Linked DNA regions of Caenorhabditis elegans. The protein of the gene in region 1 interacts with the protein of each later gene in a biochemical or structural test. Each region holds a gene or a part of one and is shown in the gene's direction. Other genes may lie near its edges.

The links.
Region 2: of the proteins of npr-1 (region 1) and flp-15, one has a biochemical effect on the other in vitro, tested with the Caenorhabditis elegans proteins (one study listed by BioGRID).
Region 3: of the proteins of npr-1 (region 1) and flp-5, one has a biochemical effect on the other in vitro, tested with the Caenorhabditis elegans proteins (one study listed by BioGRID).
Region 4: the proteins of npr-1 (region 1) and stn-2 form a complex in vitro, tested with the Caenorhabditis elegans proteins (one study listed by BioGRID).

The regions. Positions count from the first base shown.
Region 1 is NC_003284.9:4,766,614-4,771,806, reverse strand, and holds npr-1 (Neuropeptide receptor npr-1), read left to right. Parts: upstream 1-1,821; 5' UTR 1,822-1,832; coding exon 1,833-2,006; intron 2,007-2,442; coding exon 2,443-2,587; intron 2,588-2,636; coding exon 2,637-2,824; intron 2,825-2,883; coding exon 2,884-3,135; intron 3,136-3,185; coding exon 3,186-3,247; intron 3,248-3,292; coding exon 3,293-3,457; intron 3,458-4,061; coding exon 4,062-4,172; intron 4,173-4,221; coding exon 4,222-4,437; intron 4,438-4,482; coding exon 4,483-4,543; 3' UTR 4,544-4,655; downstream 4,656-5,193. UniProt on the Caenorhabditis elegans protein: G-protein coupled receptor for FARP(FMRFamide related peptide) neuropeptides. Activated by FARP neuropeptides flp-18 and flp-21. Plays a role in modulating social and feeding behavior.
Region 2 is NC_003281.10:13,662,898-13,669,555, reverse strand, and holds flp-15 (FMRF-Like Peptide), read left to right. Parts: upstream 1-1,716; 5' UTR 1,717-1,752; coding exon 1,753-1,816; intron 1,817-5,499; coding exon 5,500-5,562; intron 5,563-5,871; coding exon 5,872-6,008; 3' UTR 6,009-6,156; downstream 6,157-6,658.
Region 3 is NC_003284.9:8,526,607-8,531,565, forward strand, and holds flp-5 (GAKFIRF-amide), read left to right. Parts: upstream 1-1,714; 5' UTR 1,715-1,715; coding exon 1,716-1,795; intron 1,796-3,425; coding exon 3,426-3,549; intron 3,550-4,159; coding exon 4,160-4,234; 3' UTR 4,235-4,427; downstream 4,428-4,959. UniProt on the Caenorhabditis elegans protein: FMRFamides and FMRFamide-like peptides are neuropeptides. GAKFIRF-amide has an excitatory effect on dissected pharyngeal myogenic muscle system.
Region 4 is NC_003284.9:7,675,967-7,682,346, reverse strand, and holds stn-2 (PDZ domain-containing protein), read left to right. Parts: upstream 1-1,727; 5' UTR 1,728-1,822; coding exon 1,823-1,858; intron 1,859-2,002; coding exon 2,003-2,075; intron 2,076-2,511; coding exon 2,512-2,645; intron 2,646-2,690; coding exon 2,691-2,754; intron 2,755-2,806; coding exon 2,807-2,872; intron 2,873-3,393; coding exon 3,394-3,490; intron 3,491-3,919; coding exon 3,920-3,983; intron 3,984-4,037; coding exon 4,038-4,186; intron 4,187-4,272; coding exon 4,273-4,441; intron 4,442-4,864; coding exon 4,865-4,990; intron 4,991-5,043; coding exon 5,044-5,109; intron 5,110-5,154; coding exon 5,155-5,319; intron 5,320-5,364; coding exon 5,365-5,457; intron 5,458-5,505; coding exon 5,506-5,625; intron 5,626-5,669; coding exon 5,670-5,795; 3' UTR 5,796-5,836; downstream 5,837-6,380. Other genes in the region: mfsd-8.5 (Major facilitator superfamily (MFS) profile domain-containing protein), read right to left, coding at 6,218-6,310, 6,357-6,380.

The DNA.
Region 1 (5,193 bases):
CAGGGCACAATGTGCACACCGCGAATCAAAAATTCTTTCGTGATGCGCCAATAGTGCTCGGACCTCAATGTGTTCATAATGCTCATTGAGTTTGTGAAAAGCACTTAATTTTCTCGGTCTCATGCAACTAAATCTCTCAGTAAAAGGAAATAGTTCTGAATAGTCTCCTTAATTTCAAAGAACAAATATTTCTTAATGATGTTTTGATTTTCGAGGATAGATAATATATTGCAAAATGATTTAGTTTTAATTTCTGAAAACTTTGAACTTTATTCATAACAATTACAATGACAACTACTTGAACTTTAAATTGAATTTATGAAAGCATGAAAACAAATTTTCCTTATTAGTAACTAGTTTGAAAAATAAGTTCGTTAGCCTAGTTGTTAAAAAAAATATAATAATAGGATTTTTTTCATTGAATGTTCCAATTTGATGCATTATTCTCCTTGAAAATGAATTGTGATTTGAACGTCGCCCGATCCAATTGTAGCTCAACTTTAAAAAAATCTGGCTTCAGAGAATTTCGAGATTAAATTTAATCAGTTTATCCAAAACTCAATCAGCCTCTGGGTTTGTGTTGTTTTGATTGATATCAAAAATTTAATCTCAACCCACACATGATCAAAACCATTGTCACTTTTTTTTATTTCCTACTTAAAAATTCAATTTCCGTTGTTTAACGAAAATAGAGTTGGAAAACAATTGCGGAATTTTTGAAACCTGTTTCAGTAAATTTTCCCCACATATTCTTTTTCTCTTTTTTCTCAGGTATTCATCTTTTCGGCCCTCGATCCCTTTTTCATTAACGTGAACATGTCAACCATTTTTCGGCTTCATCACACAACTCCCTCTCACATCATTCCTGTTTTTGCTCTCATTTCACATTTAGCAAATTTCAACGCAATTTTTTTCTGGTTTCCGTCTAAGATATTCGTCACATAGATCAGTGCTGTTTTTTTGACACAGGGTTTAGAAATTTTGAACCTTGGTTTACCAATATCTTGTTTCTATCCATTTATTACTAGGTAGTTGTTGAACCATACGGAAAAAATAAAAAATTTTCCACTTGTCAAAGCGATAGATGACATCCTGTGCTTCCAGTATCTATAATTCTGTAATGAATCTCTGTCATTTGTAATCTGTATCAATTCGCAGGTGTATTCCGCCAAAAATATACATTCTGAAAGCTCAAGATGGTTTTAAGGTCTCCGATCTTACAATGTGGTTGAACTACCTAATTAGACTTACCCTATTTTTTAAAAGTATTGCACCTATACTGCCTTATCACCCAGATGCAAAATATTGCCATTTCACAGCTTAACTAAACCTGATCTTAACACGACAAGTTTTTTTTGTCAACTGAAAACATTTGCACCTTTAAAAAATACTGTATATTGAAACTTATAAAATTTTTGTAGACTCGTAAGAAAACCTATGAAAAGACCACCAAAACTCATCAACGAGAAATGAAAAGTACAGTAATCTTTATAAGTGCACACAATCTTTATAAGTTGCATTTTAAAATTTTGTCGTATTGTCTAGACCGGGAACCTGTTAGTGGGCCAAGAAATAGTATAATTTTGGGGTTTTTAAAGATGTGAGTACGAAATATTTAATTTCTATAAGCCATAAGCCATGCTAAAAAAACCCTAAAAATTTGCTTACATGAGAAGAAAGAATTATACTCAGCCAAATCTCTAATCACTTTCTGGAAACTATAGGATTTTATTTTTTATCTATTAATCTATTTGGTTAACACCCTCTTTCATCTTTGTTTCCTCAATTTTTCTTTCCTCCATTAGACTAAAAAAATTTCAGACATAGGCCAAATGGAAGTTGAAAATTTTACCGACTGTCAAGTATATTGGAAAGTGTATCCAGATCCTTCTCAAAGTATATATGCGATAGTGCCATTTCTGACCGTGTACCTTTTTCTCTTTTTTCTTGGACTCTTTGGAAATGTGACCTTGATTTACGTAACTTGCAGCCATAAAGCTTTACTGGTACGTTTCGTTTTTTTTTCGGGTCAAATTTTGTTCTGTTTTGGAAAATTGACAATTTCGGGTTCTCTGAACAATTTGATTCGAAGTGCATAGTGCGTACAGCTTACTGACACCCGGCTAACGAGAGACGAGGTTATCCATGTCTACTTGAAAAGTGACGTACATATTTGGCAAAAAAAAAAAACACTCTTATAATTCTATATAACCAAATATCATAATAAACGTTTCACAACTAGAAAAAAAAATTTTATAGACAGTCAAACTGAGTAATTACCACTTCTTGAAAGAATTTTTCCAAAAACGAACCAAATACGTGATGGAACATCACAAAAATGTTTTTAACATTTTTTGAAGCGGATCAAGATTTTTACTCTGACTAGTCCAATCAAAAATCCCAGAACCTTCACTTCTCCTGTGAATTATCATTAAATTTCAGAGCGTTCAAAACATATTCATTCTGAACCTGGCGGCGAGCGATTGCATGATGTGCATATTATCGCTTCCAATCACTCCAATCACAAATGTGTACAAAAACTGGTACTTTGGAAATCTACTCTGCCATTTGATACCATGCATTCAAGGTATTTTTTCTAAAACAAGAAGTTTTTTAAAATGACGTTTTTTTTTCAGGTATCAGCATTTTCGTATGCACATTCAGTCTCGGTGCGATTGCTTTGGATCGGTATATCCTTGTAGTAAGACCACATTCTACACCACTATCCCAAAGAGGAGCATTTCTTACTACTGTTCTATTGTGGATCCTCTCTTTTGTTGTAACTCTACCCTATGCGTTCAATATGCAAATGATTGAATACACAGTGAGTGTCGTTTTTTTCTAGGTATTCAACTTCTTATACAACTAGTACCCTCGTTTCAGGAAGAGAGAATATGCGGCTACTTTTGCACTGAAAAGTGGGAATCTGCCAAGTCTAGAAGAGCCTACACAATGATCGTGATGCTCGCCCAATTCGTGGTCCCATTCGCTGTCATGGCCTTCTGCTATGCAAATATTGTTTCGGTGCTCAGCAAGCGTGCTCAGACAAAGATACGCAAAATGGTGGAGAGAACAAGCGCGTTGGAGAGCTCTTGCGCATTCCCGTCGCATGGTCTTGAACAGTATGAAAATGAGGTAGTTTTATTGATTTTCAAATTAAAAATTCACATTTGATTTCGTTCCAGTTGAACGAATTTCTAGACAAACAGGAAAAGGAGAAACAACGAGTTGTACTTCAGAACAGAAGGTATTAAATGCAAGGTTTCTAACCGAAATACTATTTGTGTTTTAGAACAACGTCAATCCTAGTTACCATGGTTGTCTGGTTTGGGATAACTTGGCTGCCACATAACGTCATTTCTTTGATTATTGAATATGATGACACACAATCGTTTTTCCGACTTTATGGCAGAGATGATTACGATATCAGTTATTTACTGAACCTTTTCACTCACAGGTTTGATTTTAACCAAGAACGAACGGTTTTGACCATTCTGAACGTATAAACCCAAACATGCCTCAAATGAACAAATTTCAAAATAAAACTTCTCAAAATTTTTTTATGCCGGTTCATTTTTTGGAAAAAGACCTGGGTTTAGCTAAAATATTCAATTTCTGTCACTTTTCCGCAGCTGTCGAAAGTTGACTTTTTTTAAAATTATCGTCCTTTATCGCATATTTTAATAGTTTATCTCACTTTTTTCGATCATTAAGGTATTTTTTAAGCCAATAAGTAACAAAAAATGAACAAAATCGGCTACCTATTGGATTGAAAGATACCTTAATCAACGAAATAACGTGAAATAAAAGCTACAAATGGCACAAATGATGATTATTCAAATAAAGCCAGTTTCTGACCGCTGTGAGTCGGGAAAGTGGCTAAAGTTGCGGATTTAGCTGAAATTAACGTTTTGGCCCAAAACGTTTTGAGAAGTTTCATTACGAAATTCGTTCAATTGAGCACATTTTGTGACTATATGTTCAAAATACCCAAAACCGGATCCCTCCTTTGAATTCAATTTTTTTCATGTTTTTGCAAATATTAATTTTAACGTTTCTAGTATTGCCATGTCGAACAATGTTTTAAACCCGGTACTCTATGCGTGGCTGAACCCAAGTTTCCGTCAACTGGTCATAAAGACATATTTTGGAGACCGGCGTAAAAGTGACAGGTTTGTTGTCAATTTCGAAAACGCGTTGTAATTGTGCTTTGTCTTCCAGAATAATCAATCAAACATCAGTTTACAAAACAAAGATCGTGCATGATACGAAGCACTTGAATGGAAGAGCCAAAATTGGCGGTGGTGGTAGCCACGAGGCGTTGAAGGAGAGGGAGCTGAACTCGTGTTCGGAAAATTTAAGCTATCATGTGAACGGTCATACGAGGACTCCTACACCGGAAGTTCAGTTGAATGAAGTTTCAAGTCCTGAAATAAGGTAGAACGTGAATTTGAAATCGTAATTAAAATTTTGATTTTTTAGTAAACTTGTTGCTGAGCCGGAAGAATTGATCGAGTTCAGCGTCAACGACACGCTAGTCTGATTGTTTTCTGACATATCCTTTTTTCGTTGATTTCGCAACTATCATCACTTTCATCCTTGCTGAAATAGTTTTTATGATCTTTTTTTTGAATAAATAATACATAGGATGCATATATATCTATAAGTGTTTTCATGACGTACACATACGAAAATTGATGATATGTGGTCTCGTAGACTAAACGATCATCTCGTGTTCTACAAACGAATGATTCAAAGCAAAGTGCTTCAGAAGACTAGAAGGTAGGGAATTAAACACGAAATTATTATGCAAAAAGAAGAGTTCAAATATTGAACATGTGGTAAAACAAAACGCTATGCAATATTTTGGAGTTTTGAAAATTTCAGACAAACTGCCGAATTTTTCGGAAATCGGGAATTTTGCTGAAAAATTTCTGAGCCATCATTCGCCGGAATTGCCAATCGAAAAATGATTTACAGAACACTAAACAAGGTGTAATAATTCGTTTTCAGAATAAGATTAAATTTAAAAGTTGCTAAAAATTGTCAGCAATCTGCAATTGCGGAAATTTCAGCAATTGCCGAAAATGTTAATTTCCGAGTATTTTTGATTGCCGTGCACACTTTACTTTTTACAAAATTAAAATACCAACAATTGAATACATGTTTGTTTCTTTTTAAAATAACAAATCT
Region 2 (6,658 bases), on another chromosome or scaffold:
AAAGTTTTCGACTACTAAAATGTACAACAATGTTGGCTAGTAATTTTCATCGGTTGCTATATAGGTTTACAAATACTTTTTCATTTTGCCAGTTGATAATTTTTCAAATAGCAATATCACGGAAGCTGTTGAATGTTGAATATTGAATCTGAATGTTGAAAATCGCCTATATTGCAGGTTTAATTTTGAAACCTACGAGGCGTCTGTTGTTACAACTTGTTACTAGGTTAGGATATTTTTCAATTATCAAAATTTTCAAACTACAATAAAAATATATCATTGAAAAAAAAATGAAGAAAACGGAATTTTAAACACCGAAAAAAAACACTCGCTGAATTAATTCGGCGGGCAGAATTTTAAATTTTTTCCCGAAATCTTGAATTCCGAAAATCTATCCAATATAACGCGGAAAATTTTAAACGGTGTCTTGAATTCTGCCAATATCTCAATTCTGTTTCAAAAAAAAAGCCATTGAGGATTGAGTTATTATCAAAATTTTGTAAAACTTTCAAATTTCGAAATATAATTTTGCTCAATTTTATTTAAGTTGATACTTAAAAATGTATTTAAAAAAAGGTTCCAAGTTTTTCCCCTCAACTTCTCATCTCAACAAACTACAGAAATACCATTTCCACTTTGTTAGTTCCGTTAATTGCATACATAAAAGTCAATTGTCTCTCTGCAATATTGTGCCGGTTTCGTTTGAAATATGACCGAATTATGGATACACACGGGGCTACAGTAACACGACACCATTTTCAAGTGACAACAACTGGTGTAATAATTACCAGGTGTAATTATTGCCGCTCTGAAGTTTTTGGGGATGCGGCGGTCCAATAAGGGGTACTGTACGCTAGGTCACGCCTGTTTCATGGTTCTGAAACTTTGAAGTTATCGTTTTTAATATAATCTGAAAGTTATGAACATAAATTTTTTTTAAAAACAAAGGCTATAGTTGGGTTTTTTTAAATTCGAAGTTCTCGTTAGAAAGGGGTTGTGAATTAGAGTGCCAATCAGGGGTGCGCGGGAATTCTACAAAATGAGACGGTTGGGAATGTTCCCCCGATATTATTCGTTAAAATTTAATGGTACAATATAGAAAATATTTGCATTACTTGAAAATAACTGTTATTTCAGTAAAAAATATTGGAAAAATCTTCAAAAATCGTCTGAATGTTGAAAATTGCCGAAAAATTGACGCCAGTTTTCCACATTCGGACAATTTTTGAACACTTTCTCGGTTGTTATAAGTCAAATAAAAATTAATAGTAGTTTACAGGAAGTGTTCCTAAAGCTGAAATAACCACTCAAAACTCGTTCTTTGCAAAATTTAGTATTTTGTGTCATATCTACTGAATTCAGTCTGCCCCGCTACTTCAAATTTTTATATTGTCAGTTGGTATCACCGGAATCCATTTTTTTTCAAATTTTTTGATATTATCTGCAAAATTAATCTGAAAAATATATAGAATAGTATTTTAAGCGTTGAACTTTTTTGGTCACTTATATATGTGCCAAACTCCTGAATTCGGAGCAAACTTCAAAAGTGGTGTCAGGTTTTGTTGAAAAGTGGTACCTTTTCCCCAATTTCAAAATTTTCATTTCAAAAAATATCAAGTTTCTGACTGCTCATCAATAACTACAGAGCTGCGCAAAGGGCGGAGCTCAGATCCCGCCCTATCTGCTCGTGTGCGCTTTCGCAAGAGCTTTCGGCTCATTTTTTGGAAGAAGGTCTCCCACATACACCTCGTCATGCAGTTCTCCACGCTTATTCGAGTTGCAGTTTTTGCGGTTTTGGCAATTGCTACACTTGCAGGTAAGAGTTGTTGGCTAGATTTGCAAACTGAAAATACGATACGGATTCTATACAATACGAAAAATCAAAAAGATTAGGTTTTTTACGGAGTTTTATACATGTTTGGGTGAGTTGACCAGCTTTAGTTATAACTGCAGGTTTGAGAAGCATAATGGCTGAATAAATAAGTTTTAAAAAATGTATTCTCCGAGTGACGAATTCAAAAACTTATGATACATATCCTCGTGATCCGATTTCCAGCAAACTTGATATTTAGTTTCAAAAGTTTACATCATTTCGACATTCTGACAGGCAAATTGGCGGTTTACTCAAAACAGAGCTCGCCATTTAAGTCAAGTTGAACTTTAGTCAGTCAGATTGTAGATAATAAATCAAAGAAGTATGGAAATTTTTTAGCAACACCCAAATGTAACGGGGGATTATAACAAAAAAATTAACTGTCAAGTTTTTACTTTGGTGAGACTGGAGCAAAAACAAGAAAAACATTTAAAACAAATTGATAATAAATCGACCAAAAAATTCACTATAACTTGCCAGATTTTTTAAAATTGCTTTACTACCCTCAAAATTGTCTGAAAACGCAGACTTCTTAAAAACTTCTCGAAAAAAAAGTTATGACGGCTCAAAAAATGGTCTAAAAACTGTTTTGAAATTACCGTCAAATTTTGGGTATAAAATTTAGTTATCATGCGTTATCAACTCGATTTAGTAAGCCAATAGACGAAGAAATTTGGTAAAAATGTTTAAAATCTTTTGGTCCATCGACTTTAAAATAACTAAATCGAGTTGAAAAGGCAAAATAATTACATATACTCATATACTCAAAATTTGGCGGTGATTTAAAACAATGTTATCAGCCGCTGCGACATTGACAATTCCGTCAAATTTCAAATTTTGACTAATATTAGGCCCTTTTTTGAGCCGTATAACTATTTTTTTGAGAAGTTTTCATGAAGTTTCATTATGAAATTCGGGTGTTGTCAGACAATTTTGAGTCTAATAAAGCAATAAAAAACATTTTTACAAGTTATTTGTTACCAGTTACATTGTAACTGGTAACAAATTTTTGACAGCTCTAAAATTATAAATATATAATTTCAAAATTTCGATGACATCACCCTACCGTAACCCTGTCAGTTTTGATCCATTCCTCCATCATTTCTTGTCATTTCCTAATTCCACTTTCTTTGTTCTTTTCCCATTTGTCATTCAACAATCCCCTCCCTTACTCCTCCGCTTGTGTAGTTTAGTAGTAAAATTTTTGGAAAAATTCTGACTTTACGGATCACTGGGCTCCGGAAGTGAAAAGGTAAGGGTTTAGAAGTCAGAAAACTGAAGTTTTTAGATTTGTAAGTGGAAAAGTGCAAAAGATCGTTAAAATGTTTAAATCGGTTGTAAACGATGATGAAATTGATTTTGAAAGTCGCAAAACATTTTCGACAGCTTGAAATAGTGCCGGAAGCTGATAGTTTTTCCAAAAGCGTCGAAATTTGCAAAAAAAAACATCAAAAACTGTTTAAAAGTTTCAAAAATTTGCCAAAAGTTCATGAAAAGCCGAAGAGCTAGCGAAAATTAGTCAAGAGTTTTAGGAATATTCCAAAAATTGCCAAATTTTTAAAGACATTATTTTAAAAGCTGCCGAATTTTTTTGTGAGGATTTGATGATTGATCAAGAGTTTGGGCAAATTTCAAAATTCTTATAATTTTTCAAAAATTGTTTTCATTTTTTATAGAATATCGGTAATTTTGAAAAGTATTATTGCCGAATTTCGTGCAACAACTATTTTTAAGACAAAATTCAAATTATTTGAGATTTACAAGTTGCCAAAGAACCGTAGATAAAAATTTTATAATTCCTATTTCAAAATCAAAATGTCTCTAGTCTAAGGTGTAAGGGATTAAAACTTCCCACTAAAACTTCCAAATTTGTCACCACCCACGCCCGTCTACATAGTAGTGTCTTCTTCTTCTTCTTGTTTTGTCATAATATGTACACATGTATCAACCATAAAGAGGAGCCATTTGCATCGATTTTCATTCATTTCCACACTCCAGGGTCTAACTTTGGTAAGGTTTTATTGGCGGTGCACGTCCACTGGGGGTCGTCAGGCGATTAGTTTGAAAGTTTGAAACCAATGAGCAACACATGGGGCTCGCTTTATTTTGGAAACCTTTAGGAATGATGATGGTTGTGTATTTGAAAATGGGCTGGGGATTTTAATTTTAACAATTTAAAACGCAAGCGGCTAATTTCAAAAGTTAACATTTAAAAGTTAATTATTTTCACTGATCACGAAATTCTTTTGACACAATTTGAGGTTACTGGACAAAATTTTTGCCTTTTGGTACTAAAATTATCAGACGTCGATGATTGACCAAAAATTAGTTTTTTAGACCACAGATTTCAATATTATCAGTATTTTGAAATGCGATTAATTTTCCCAAGAAAATTTAATTAACAACACGATTTTATATTGTTCAAATTTTTTTAGAATTGCAAGTGTAGCAATTAATTTTTTTTTAATTTTAAACTAATATGTCATTTGTTTATTCCAAAATTGAGTTCCAGACGCTGCGACAGCGAGAAGATGGCAAAAATGTTTGATTTTAGCAGAAAATGAGCCTTTTTTCCAGAACTTTGAACTCGTTATAACTTTTTTGAAAAATGTTTAAAACGTTTCATACGAAATTCGGTAGTTTTGGGTCATTTTGGATCTAAAAAACAAAGTCTCGGATTTCGGTACTCCACCGTTAAACATTTATACCGAAGCAAGATAAAATAGGCATAGCAGCAGACTACAAAATTAGAGAGAAAACATTAGAGAGAATTGCAAAAAAATTTCAGTTGACAATAGTTTGATAAACTATTGAAGTTGGTTAAGAATTATTTATACTTTCAAAAAAAAGTTCGTCACACAAACCCGTTACCTAAAAATTCCAAAAACTCAGCTAGTCAAACAAAACGAGCTTCCTTGTCTAATTTATTCTTTTGTTCTTTTCTCTCACTTTGATAATGAAAACTTGACAAATTCTTCGTTTTTTTTCGAGAGCATCACGTTTATGCAGATGAGGGGGTAGATGTTTGAGATGAGTGATAAAAGATTGAATATTTTATGAAAAAAAAAGTTGGGGGAGATTTTTCTTTTTTTGGGTGCTGAGGTCAAACGGGGCAACATTCAAAATTTTGAGATTCTTTCCCAAAAAAGTACTACTAAACTGCCGGAATTGTCGAAAGTTTACCAAAGCTTTTGTCAAAAATTGTCTGATTGATTTTCCAGCAAATTTTCATTTTTTCAATTGAAATTTTTAAACAGAGTGTAGAAATTTCAAAATTTTGGCACAAAATGCATCTCAAATTACCAGAAGACAAAACAAAAAAATTGTGCCAAAAGTTTCACACGGCGTCCATTCGAATTATTTATGGAAAAATGATATGTACGTGTGTCGGAAGTGGGTTTCATGTGAGAATTTTTGTGAATTTTAAACAAATATTTAGAAAGTGGAAAATGAGAAAAAAAAAACGTCACTTTATAAATAAACTTGAAAGGATTCAGAAGGAATTTGATATTTCCAAGATTGGAACAATGGGAATTAAAAACTAATAAGTAGTAATTAAAAGCTCAAACTATGACTTTCAAATGAACCAAAATTTCAAAAAAAAAACAAGCATTCTAAAATTGCAGATTACGACGACAATTCGGTCGGAACAATCCCAGTGGCTGTTGATTTGGACTACTTTTCCAATTGTAAGCTTTTGAATTGTTAACTTAAAAAATGAAAATCACAAAGTTTTAAAACATTTGTTTATTCAAAACTTTTCGATCTCTTAAGTTTCTAAAAAGATATCAGCATTTCAAAAAATGTTCAGAAATACATTTTATCGCTGAATTCAAGTGAGAATACCATTTTGAAAATTAATACTTTTAAAAACATTTATAACAAATAAGTTTTCTATCTATTTTCAGTTAAAACTTTTTTATATCTCAAACGGTTTGATTGCTTTTTAACCTACCAATTTTTTTATGTTTGGTGACCACTTTATGCTAAATTTTCAGACGTAAAGAAAGGCGGACCCCAGGGACCACTTCGATTCGGAAAACGACGTGGACCATCTGGACCTCTCCGTTTTGGAAAGCGATCATCATTCCACGTGGCACCTGCTGCTGAAGACGTCGCGTCGTGGTACCAGTAAATAATTTGGAGAGCGGTCATTTTCTTGCCAACAACTTTTTTCTCCCCGATTCCGTTCCCCCGTTTTTCCATCCCTCACCTGACTGTGCTGCATGTGTTTCTATGAAATAAATAAGATGATTGGTTAATAAAATATGTTTTCAAGTTAATTATATTATTATTATTATTATTATATCATTATCGATGAACTTATAACAATTTTCAGAAAATGTCTGTCAAATGGATGAAAGTTTTGATATTCTTTATTTCGAGTAGTCGGCAACCAGCAAATTTCTAACTTTGAAATCGTGTTAACTCTGTAAACAGGGTGCACGGCAATTGCTTATTGCCGAAAATTCACAAAACCGACAATTGCCAAAGTTGCCAATTGCCGGAGATTTTGAAACCCAGCAATTGCCGAAATTGCCGATTGCTGAAATTCAGAATCGCCGGAAATATAAATTCGATACTTTTTGTAGATTTACGAAACTCAACATGAATTTTAATGGACAATTTTCTCTTTTCAAGCTCGGCATGATTTAATCCTTGAATGAAAATCGGCAATTTCGGCAATTACCAAAATTTCCGATTACCGCGCACCCATGTCTGTAACTAATGAACTATTGATCATTGAACTTTGGAAACTCAGAAAATTGAAAATGGTCGATGTTT
Region 3 (4,959 bases), 3.8 Mb from region 1:
AGATTTCGGGAAGTGATGACATTTATCTGTGTAATATGACCATTGAAATGTGGGTGTACCAAATTTGTAAACTTTGATGACAGTATAAATAAAGATCGTGAACACAATAAAACAACTCTTGGAAAGTAATATTGAACACAAAAAGTACAGATGATATGGCCAATTGGTACACTTCTGCATTATTTTAGTACTCTTAATCAAGACTGAAAGAGGGTAACAAAAATTGGTTCTGTTGTGTTTTAGTATTGAATAAACCTTTTTGAAAACAAACTTCTTTAAGAAAATGAAACATGATCTTAAAATTCACACATGTCGTAAAGAAAGTCATCGAGCAAAAGTTCAAATACAAAGTTCGCGTAAAAATTCAATATGCTGAAAATTCTAGGCTTTACGGTTTGTTTGCTCGCCCGTAGACTTTTTCATTCCCGTAGCTTCCAGTTTTAATTAAAACTTTTTTGTGGGCCAAAACGGACACGTCATGTCAGGCCCCGCCGTTTCCTCCTCCGACATGTCAAATCGGTCATTCAACACTGACATTTTGCAGTTTTCGGAGAATCTCCCATTTACTACGGAGAACGCGCCGCCTAGAAACAGAATAGTTCAGTTTTTTAACTTTAGTTTAGTTGTTTTTTTTTGTGGTATCTAAGAAAAAAGAAGCAATGTGGGCTTGAAACGGGTGGATCTGAAATGAATCTTGCAATTGATATTGTTTCTTGTGTATATTATGGAAAACGGAAATGAGAATTCGGCAAGTGAACACAATACAAAACTCTCATTTTGAAGTAAAACCGGTACATGAGCACTTTTATCGGTTCGTGGAAATTATGAATTGGTACATAAACAAAATTTATAGTTGATCGTCGGAGTGTTTTTTGGGAATAGCGTTACATCGATTTGCAAGTTTTCTAAAAACCAAAGTTGATGCTCTATGACGTACTAAAACAATCACTAGAAGTCTATTTGAAATTTGAAAGGTTTCTGATTAATTTTTTGTTCTGATTTTCGTATTATTATTTTTCTCCCAATTGATAGTGACCCTGGTTCGAAAACAAATAATCCTACTCTATTATTTGTTTTCAATCAGCTTTTCGGCTTCTGACTCCATTTCTATTATCAAACTCTGGGTTAAGTCGTTAGTTTTCCGGTACCCCTTCTATTCCCCCAGAGGCTTACTAGATCGTTTACTTTTCAATCTCCACGGGGTTAAATGGGAAACATAGAGGGCATTCCGTTTTGCAAAAAGAGCTTGTTAAAGTTGAAGTCTGGAAGGAAGTACCTAAAAGTACCTAAAAAAGCTTTTGGGTCGTGTGACGAATTGCGCAGAGAATTCAGAAATCTGCTGGAGGATTCTTTTTATATTTTTGATCGCCAATATAGACGAGCTAATTCATCAAATTATGTCATGCAACTTTGACGCAAGTTATCAAAAGCATATTGCTATTTTCTGTTGTAGTAGACATGTTGATATCTTCATTTCTCCAATTATCTTCTCTTCCTACTATAATAACAACTCTTTTAGATAAAGTCTCTTCCCAAAAATAACAACTACAGTTTCAATTTACTCCTTATTTCCCATCATCTCTAGTTCAGCTCCCAACCGCTCCACATAATAGTAGAGATGGGGCGGAGCCAGTTGGCAAGCCATGCGCAGCGTCCCCGCCTTTCAGCTTCCACGACAGCACCCGCCTTTTACGAAACAGTCATTCCTCGCAACTATGAGCAGCCGAAGCACCACGATTGCTTTCCTCTTCATCGCCACCCTTCTTGTCTTCCAATGTGTTTCCGCTCAATCAAGGTAGGTTAATTTGATGTCTAGGGTTCAGGTGCTGTGATGAGCCAATTGTTAAACCCCAACTGATCAAAACTGGCCATTTGTTCTTGATTGTGATCATTGCTTCGGCTATTGAGACTATCATGGACTTCCTAAAAAGAAAAGGCGCTAGGACTTAAAGTAAAATTATTAAAAGGATTTTAAAAAAGGCTGACATAAATTACCAACTCAGACAGAAAAAAAAACACAAAAAACCAAAACTCTAACGGTGCGTGAAGGTCTAGATTGAAACAACAACGGAACCTATTAAAGTCGTAGGTACAAGCAAATTATCTTTTTCAGAAAAACTAAATACTAATACAGAAATAGTTTCAATATCCAAATTAAATCATCGTTGTACAGCTAATTGCTCAAAAGTGACGCATTTTTCATCATGCACTTTATTTCATCATCATTTTCGTAATTTTCTAATTATACAAAGATGCAATGGCGTGATTAACACACATACTAGATTCTGTTCGTTTTCTTCGGCATTTCACTTTACTACTAGCATCTTGTGCGCTTCCTACGAACTTATACCCCGGTCTCCTCCCTTTTTTTCATTCTCATGAGCATCGTAATGTGACGTGAGTTTATTCTTTTTGGGGGATCCCATCTTGTCTGTTGGACTCTTGGTGTCGGATGAAGCGGAAATATCAATCAGCCATTCAAATTCAATTGCGAGTACTAGGAGGCGCGCTTTTTGCTTATTCGCTTTGCATTCGATGCTTCCGGTGAGATGCACTTTGACCCATTCTTTCCATACTATTGTTTAAAAAATTGGAACAACTTTGTTGGGAGGCCAGAGTCTTCAGCAAGGAAAAAATAGAGATGACGTTATAAACAAAGAATGGAAGTGTTCAATGACAATATCTTTTTGAAATTACTTTTCGAAATACTCAGATTTTTAAACTGTTTGTTTTGTTTTAAAGCTTGGAATTTCCCATTCAGAACATTGAATTCCAAGCATTGAAAACAAAAACAAAAGTATGTCAAACAATAAAATAGTTGAGGACTAGTCTCTAACCTAATAGAAAAGCGAGGGTGGAATTCATAAAATTAGCTTCTTTGACCTTCAATGTAACACAAATTAGCATTCCGTTCTCGATTTATCCCGCTTCTTTAATATCAGGCAACTTTGAAACTTCCCTGTTTCATTCTTAGAAAGTCACTGGAGGGATCAGAGCACTCACAAAACATGTCTCCTTCAAAAAGTTGCCACCACTTTTTTGCTCTAGTCGTTCAATACAATTGGTAAATGAAGCGTTTAATTTTGCACTTGGCGTGCTAACATGACGCATGTGCTCATTGAGTTTGGAAAAGTAAAGTAGTTGGTTAAGCGACAAAAAGGAAAATGTGGTAACCTTCTTATCTTTTCATTTTTCAATTATTTTTGAACAATTATATGCAGAAATGTAGGTCGTGGTGAACCGAAACACAATATTAAAAATATGATAAATGGTGGTAATTAAAATAGACACATTTTCAATATTGACGTGTGAAATACGTAAGAAAAAAGACAGGAAAGGTTCTATGACATTTTAAAAAAATAAAACAACGGTCTCTTTGTTCACAAATATGGACTTTTCAATCTAATAACACCGAATATTTTCAGTGCCGAAGACGCGGACTACCTTGAAAAATACCAAAGAATAGCACGAGCACCAAAGCCAAAATTCATCCGATTCGGTCGTGCAGGAGCCAAGTTTATCAGATTTGGGCGATCAAGGAACACTTGGGTTAGTATTTCAAGAAAATAATTTTTTCAGTGAATCACTGCATAAGTCGAAAACCAAGGTTCTGAAAAGCTTGTTTCCTTGTGTTTGTTGTACACATAGCTTAAGCTGCTACCATTGTAGAAAATCCTATTCGACCCCCTTATTACGTATGCAAATTATATTCTGAAAATCTTGATTTTTATCTGTTTTGATATTTGCTGAGTCTAGAGATTTTTTTGTAATGCTGGGGAGCACCTTAAAAAAATTGTTCTAGTCGTATATGAACATTTACAAATTTCGACTAATAAGTATATGATGAGACTAATAAAGGATAAACGATGCCTGTCATTTCCAGCGAAGACGGAATACTTTTAAGTCACAAGAAAAACGTCAGAATTTCATGAAAGATCGACGTGACTGAGTACACACTGCATTACAAGCTATTAGCTTTCTGAAATATTAAAAACCCCGCTCCCCCACTATCTTTACAAACGGAATACATATATGAAAATATCACGCTAAAAAGCACTATGTCATATGCCAACACATGGATATGAGTAATGACGCATCCGAAACGTCAACTTCTCATGTATACTAACCATTATGCCATCATCATTTATTGAATTTTCAGGAAGATGGATACGCCTCACCATCGGTCAACGAGCTCTACGTTAAACGTGGAGCCAAATTCATCCGATTCGGCTAATTAGGAACAATCAACTCGTGTCGAATCACTGCTCCTACGTTGTCTAACTGCATAGTGTTTCTTAAAAAGTCCCCACCTGAAATATACCCTTTCACTCATTTATTTGTCCTCCTATTTTTTTCGAACTGTTGTGCGAACTGATATTCTTTGTGTTTTCCATTTCGACGCCTTCTCAAATGAAAAACGTTGCGTTAAATTATTATGTTTCAAAATTTTTGAATAACAAGTATCCATAATCCATGATCTTAAAAAAACAATAAGAAACACGTAAACAATTCATTATAAAATATGGACTTAATTAGACGTCTCACCTAAATATGTTTCCAAAAATTGTGTGCGTTCTTTTTTTTAATCGAAATATTAACTAAATACTGCAATCTAGTCAATCAAATGACATGTCAATGTTTGAATGTGGTTTGAAATTTTATGCCAAGGAATCAACACAATTGAACAATCATTTCATTTTGTATTACTATTGCATGTGTCAAAAATACTTAAAAACTTATTTTTGTTTAAATCTCCATACACATATCTAATCTTCAAAACTTACGATCATCCCAATTTGGTTTTTAGAAAGTGGTGGCAGTATAGATGTTATTTGAAATGTTTTTTCGTTTACTAATTTTTTTTGGCTTTGGTAGCCTTGAGTTCTACAGAAAATTGAAAAGTTGGTTAGAACAGAGGTTTCAAAAATAATTTATTTTCGAATTTTGGTTACAGCTAGC
Region 4 (6,380 bases), 2.9 Mb from region 1:
AGTAAATTTAATTAGTTTTTTTTCTTCAAAGACCACATAACCAATTTTTCTGAAAAAGTTATGTTTAGATTTTCCAATGATAAAATACCTTGTTGACAAAATTTAAAAATAACAATTGATATCATCAACAAGGAACAGTCGATACATAGACACATTAGGGATTAGGACCGTAGACACCACGGGGACTGTACTGCGTACTATGCGCTGGAAATGACGCGCAATGGAGTGCAATAGAGACCAGCATATAACTATTTCAATGAAAATGGGAGATTACTTATTTAATAATCGGTATTTAGGTTTTATAATCTCACATTTTAAAAAATAAACTAATTTTTCCATCAAATTTTCCATATTAATAATACGTGATACACGTGTTCCTCTTCAAGTTTAAGTGGTTTTCCAAGAATAAAAATGCAAAAGGATTTCGAACATTTCCATTTCTGATAAATTAAAAAGGTGTTATGATTCACAACAAGGTTTAATAAATAACAAAATACGTGCGTACTTTGAAAACAGTTATATATATCTAATTTTTAAAATTAAAGTTCATGTATTTTGTCGTTTAATTTTTGACACTATATGAGCGGGTTTAAACAGTTTTCCTACTGAAGGTACTCCGTTTTTAATTTATATAACAAGAAGAGCTACAAAACACTTTGTGGTTTGTTTCAAGCAGAGAAAATGTGATCACACATATGTACTCAAAGAAAAAATCACAATTTTAGTCTCTCTTGATGACTCAGTTGACTAAAGGCAAAAAAGTCAGCCTCGTTTGCACAACAACGATTGTGAAATATATTCCGTTGCCTTTCTTTTTTGCCAGTTGCGGAACATTTTCATATGTGTTTGCGCCGCCGAAAATCGTCCATCATTCGAAATATGGAAAGCGAAACGATGTGTCTTTGTATCTTCAAAACGGCATTTCTCAATTGAAGCTCAATGGCTCATTGACATTCGAAGTGAAGACACAGTGTAGGGTCACGGCGCTAAAATGCGTGTTTTCCCATTGTTTTAATGGGGAAAAAGGACAATAAGAGTAGAAAACGGCAATTCGTCAAAATGATTGATTATATTCATCAATTAGTTTGCAGGAAACAACATGCAGAAATGTGGAAAAGATTTCAGTGAAAGTTTCAATTAGTTTGGAAAATCACTAACTGTTGAATATGAATAAACAAATGGAGAAAAAACAGGGATGTTAAAATTTTTATCAAAAGTCACTCCTCAAAAAGGTATTCCGTTGCGGGGAATCGAACCCCGGCCTTATGGGTGAGAGCCATAAATCCTAACCACTAGACCACAACGGAGATGGGTGAGCAATGGTCGCTGCTTAATGATAAGAGTACAGAAAACTTTGTGACTGTGAACAATGTGTAGAAAATTTTATCAGTCAGAAAGCAGCACGCGAAGAAATTGAGAAAAATGATGGTTGCCTTTCCGGCAATCTCTTTGGCAACAGTTCCAGAATTTCAGCTCTTATTTTATATCTTTTAATCAGTTTTCAGACTATGATCAAAACTTTGTTGGATGTTAAAAATATTGGATGACTCGTTTCTGATATTAAAAATTCAAACCAGCTGTTTATCATCTTGTTTCTCACTTCCTTCAACTGCTCGTTTTTGCTGTTCGTCTATGATTCCGCATCTTTTGCTGTTGTAATGTGTGTATTACACCGCTTCCGATGAGCAGATAGGATAGATTGGAGCTCGGGCGCTTCAAAGTTGACTCGTGTGAGGTGGCACACACACACGCATCTTTAGTCCCTCTAGTTCATTGTCCTTCATTTTTGCTACATTTTATATTCTCTGTTAAACAAGGCTAAATGTCCGTTACGAAATCACACCATAATCTGGATGTGGTAAGTTTAGCAAATATTATGAAATTGTTGGTTTTTAATGGGCATGTTTAATTTTTGTATAGTACATGCCAGCAATCTGAAGTCTTATGAAATACAAGACTTGACAATATGTTAAATGAAACAAATTCCAACAAAAAATTTCAGGTTCATCATGGAATAGTACTCATTAGTGATGGGAATGCCACTTCTAGATCGTCACGACTGCTTTTATCCAAAGGTAAGAGGAAATTAAAATGGAACTTGAAATAGAAATAAAATGGAACCATCAATTTTTGAATGTATGCATTTTTTCCACACTTCTCACATGGGGCCTATAAAAGCCGCACAATTTGCGAAAGCGAGAAGGGCCTGAAAAACGAGGAGAAATGGGGGAGAAAAACGAAAATAAAAGAAAAGTGTGCAATGACGGCCTCAACTAGTCGTGTGAAAACTTTATTAGGCAGCTCATGGCGCGGAAATTGGTGCCTAGCCTACAATTGAGTTGTTGAGAAAAGAGGAAAAAGCTGTCAGGGTCCCGCATCTTCGTTTTTGTCTTGCGCTTCCTTTGCGCTTTTAAAACTCCAAAAAAAATTTGGTAGAAATGACATGAAAATGGCATGAAAACTATATAAAAAGTCATCCAAAAAAAGAAATATCGTAACATATTCTTGCAGATGAGTTATGTATTCAAGTCATTGACGATGGTACCGCGGAGCCCGAAGAAGCCAAAGAAACATTTCTAGAAAATGCAACTCGGCAAGTTGTCATAGTTAAAAAACCAGACTCGGGGTTCGGATTGTCTATTAAAGTGAGCAATTGAACAGGACCGGTGTAATACTTAGAACTATTGCAGGGAGGATCAGAAAATGCACAAAACATGCCAATAGTAATCTCCAAAATATTCAAAGGATTGCCAGGTAAATCGTCAGATTTAAAATTTTAACATCTAGAAAAATACTTAAATTACAGCCGACGAATGTGGAGAGCTATTTATTGGAGATGCTATCGTAGAAGTAAATGGAATATCCATAGAAGGTGAGGGAAGAAAAAGAACGAGTAGTCTTCATTAGTCCAATCATTTGGTTCCCCTCTGGGAAATAGGAACTGAAAACGAATGAGCGTTCATAGCAAAGACCAAAAAGTTAAACTAGTTTTTTTTTAAATAATAGAAATAAAATGGAACCATCAATTTTTGAATGTATGCATTTTTTCCACACTTCTCACATGGGGCCTATAAAAGCCGCAACAAAATAACTTTTGGCAATTCACGTTCAAAAATTTAACATAAAAATTTAAAAAAAAAAAACAAAGTTGTATTGAATAATAAAACAAGTCATATGCTGTACTTTCCCTATTATACTTGCTCCTTCTCTGTTGGATGGGTTATATATGCCGTCCTAAGTTTCATAACAAATCAATTTTTTTTCAGTTGCCAATTAAAAAAAAACCAAAAAGAACTAACTAAGATATAAGCTGTCAAAATCAAGCAAGGGCATGATGGTACAAGTCTAATAGGGAAAAAAAACGGTAGACTATTTTTTCATATCAACTTCCAGGTCAAAGCCACGACGAAGTGGTTAACATGTTAAAATCAAGCGGTGACCAAGTAACTTTGGGTGTCCGCCATTTCACCCATATGACGCCGTTTCTAAAGTGAGTTTGGTTTTGTGGCGAAAAAAATTTGCTACTCAAGTCAGTCCCATGCATCGCCTTTCTTCCTATTTCCCGCTTCCTTTTTCGATTTTCGACGTGGCGTTACTTTGGCGAGAGGACACACAAAAAAAGTATGGTTGAAAAGAGTGGAAGAAAGAAGCATGAAAAAGAAGGAAAAGGACGAAGAAACATGAGTAGAAACAACTGATGGATTAGAGTGTAGAAGAGCTCTGCGCAGGGGGTGGTTTGAGGCAAAGCACGCGGAGCCTTACGCCATCCTCCCTGATGAATGCTTTTCACTGCATTTGAAATTCAAAAATGTGCGCAGTAGGCAAACTGCCGAGGGACACACAATGTTTTGCGCAGAGTATATAGTTGCATTTGATTTTATATCGGGGTACCAGAGACGTTGGAGTGACTACTTTTCAGACCAGCACAGTCATTGCAACCCGATGGAACATTGGATCAGCTGTTTGATGGAAGAAGTACAAGGGTAAGAAAAAATCCTAAGCTTCCATTTTGAAATTATTTGGAGTTTTTGCTTCAGAGCCACAAAGCGCAATCCGAATCCCGACTCTCCGACTCGAAATGGCAACAACATATTGACGGACGGGAAAAGAAATGGAAAACGTTGACGTCTCTTCCGTTGGCAATGGCTTATGTCACCAGATACCTCTGGGGAACCGACAATATCAGGTTTGCTTCAGATTTTATTTTCGTAATGAATACATACAACGGGGAGCTTTTTGTATTTCTTGTTCAACAAAACTAAAATTTTACAGGACAAACTCTTTCGAAGTTCGTGCAGTAGATGGAAGATCGTCGGGAATTGTGCATTGCGAAGATACATCGGCGCTGGAACAATGGATCTCGCACATCAGCAAACATATATTGTCGCTCAACCAAAAGAGTATAAAAATGAGCAACAAGTACTTGCATCAGAGTGAGCAGGTCAGTATGCAATGATATGACTTCAATGTTTGGTAGGCACGTTTGGTTGCCTTGAAACATCTGTTAAAAATACGACATCGGAATTAAAAATTAAATGTTTTCAGCACACATCAGATTAATGATCCAACATTACTGACTATGAAGCCGTTTTAGGTGTCCAGAGAATTATGGGTCGAATGATGTATTTTCTAAAAGCTAATACAATGGAAATTACGAATTCAGAATAAAACTTTGCTTAATCTAATTTTGAGGCAATTATTTTTGCTTTTGTCTGCTCGATTTAGGATACTTGATGGAAACATTGTTGTTTTTAAAGCCGACTATCTTGTTGAAAATTGAATATTCAAGAAAATAGTCAACTAGTAAATCTACTAACATTATGCACGGTTTTTGCAGTAAATAGTTTAAATTAATGTTTTTTAGATCAGCTACATTGGTTGGGTGAATGAATACTTGAATGATGATGATCAAGAAGAGCTTAAAATCCGCTGGCAACCTCGCTTCTTGATTTTAAAAGGCAGTGATGTCTGCTTCTTTGATGTTCCGCCGGTATGTTTTTTTTTTAATTTTTGAACTTATTTTACATGATTCTTTTTTTCCAGCTAAACTCTGAAGATCTCAACAAATGTGTCTACTTGTACAAATGTTATGATGTTGCTGTAAAACAGGTAGATTATCAAAAAAAGTAGTAATTCTAGAAGGGATATCTACAGGTCCCAAACTCTAGTCCACGAAGAGATAAGCGTGACAATTGTTTCTTAATAGAAACTCCATTGCAAGTTCCAAATCACTACCTGTCATTTGAAGCTGTATCTGCATTTGAACTTTTTGAGCAAGCATATTACCGAACCGTATACAATACCATTTCCCAAATGCAGGCAAGTTTATTTAAATTATTCAACAACAATAACAGTTAACTTTAGTCCCGAACGTTTGCCTGTAACTTTGAAGGAAGAGCCAGTGGAATCGTTTTTGACATTAAACAGGGAATTAGTCTATATGATATTCCTACTAAGGTAATACTATTTCTAACTGTTATTGATATTGATACAATTTATTTCTAGAGTTACATTTGGCAATATCGGTTCAGAGATTTACAAGCCGTTGCTGATGATGGCAAACTGTGTGTCCAGTTATCGTTCAATGATGATCGTTCATTGAATTCCGATAGAATAGAAGTAAAGGTTAGTGGTTTTGCAACTTTCCGAGTCAAGTACTCAAATTGCAGGACATCGAATGCGAAGATGTGGTAACAGTTGTATTCAACCTTCATTCCTTTGTTCTTGCCAGAATTGTTTCCACTGATCCAGACTATTTGAAGGCTAATCGTTATGTTGGAAATGCAGAGGACTAATGATTTTTGATTTTCAAAGCATAAATATTTTTTTGTTGTTGTTCAACTGTTGTTTAAAACAAAATTTGAATCATGAGTTAAAGCTAGGTTTTCAACATTTTTTTATTTCAAACTAAAAATAAAAACAATCTGCATGCCGTAGTCTACCTGTAACTTATGGACCAGTTTTGAGTCATATGCAAAAAATCAAAATTTCATTGAAAACATATGACTTTTTTCAGGTTTCTGGCACAATCAAATTGTCAATTTCAAAAATCCTTTATTTCAATAATCATAAATTCTAATTCTCAAAGAATTATATCGATAACAAGATAAAGACACGCGATGAGTCAAAATCAACCGGTTTCTGTTTGCCGTAATATTGCACTTACAACAGTACTCGAAAACTCAAACAAAGGTGAAATAACAAAGTAAAGAGTTGCCTAATTCAAAGGCTCAATCTTCTTCGTCTCATATTTCTCGAATGGAACCATTCTCACACGCAATATAATCCACGCACTAATAAGGACTACCAGCTGAAATCGTTTGGGTTTCTATTGAATTAACTGCAGCAATACTCACGTTCACAATTAGTATCAACCATGG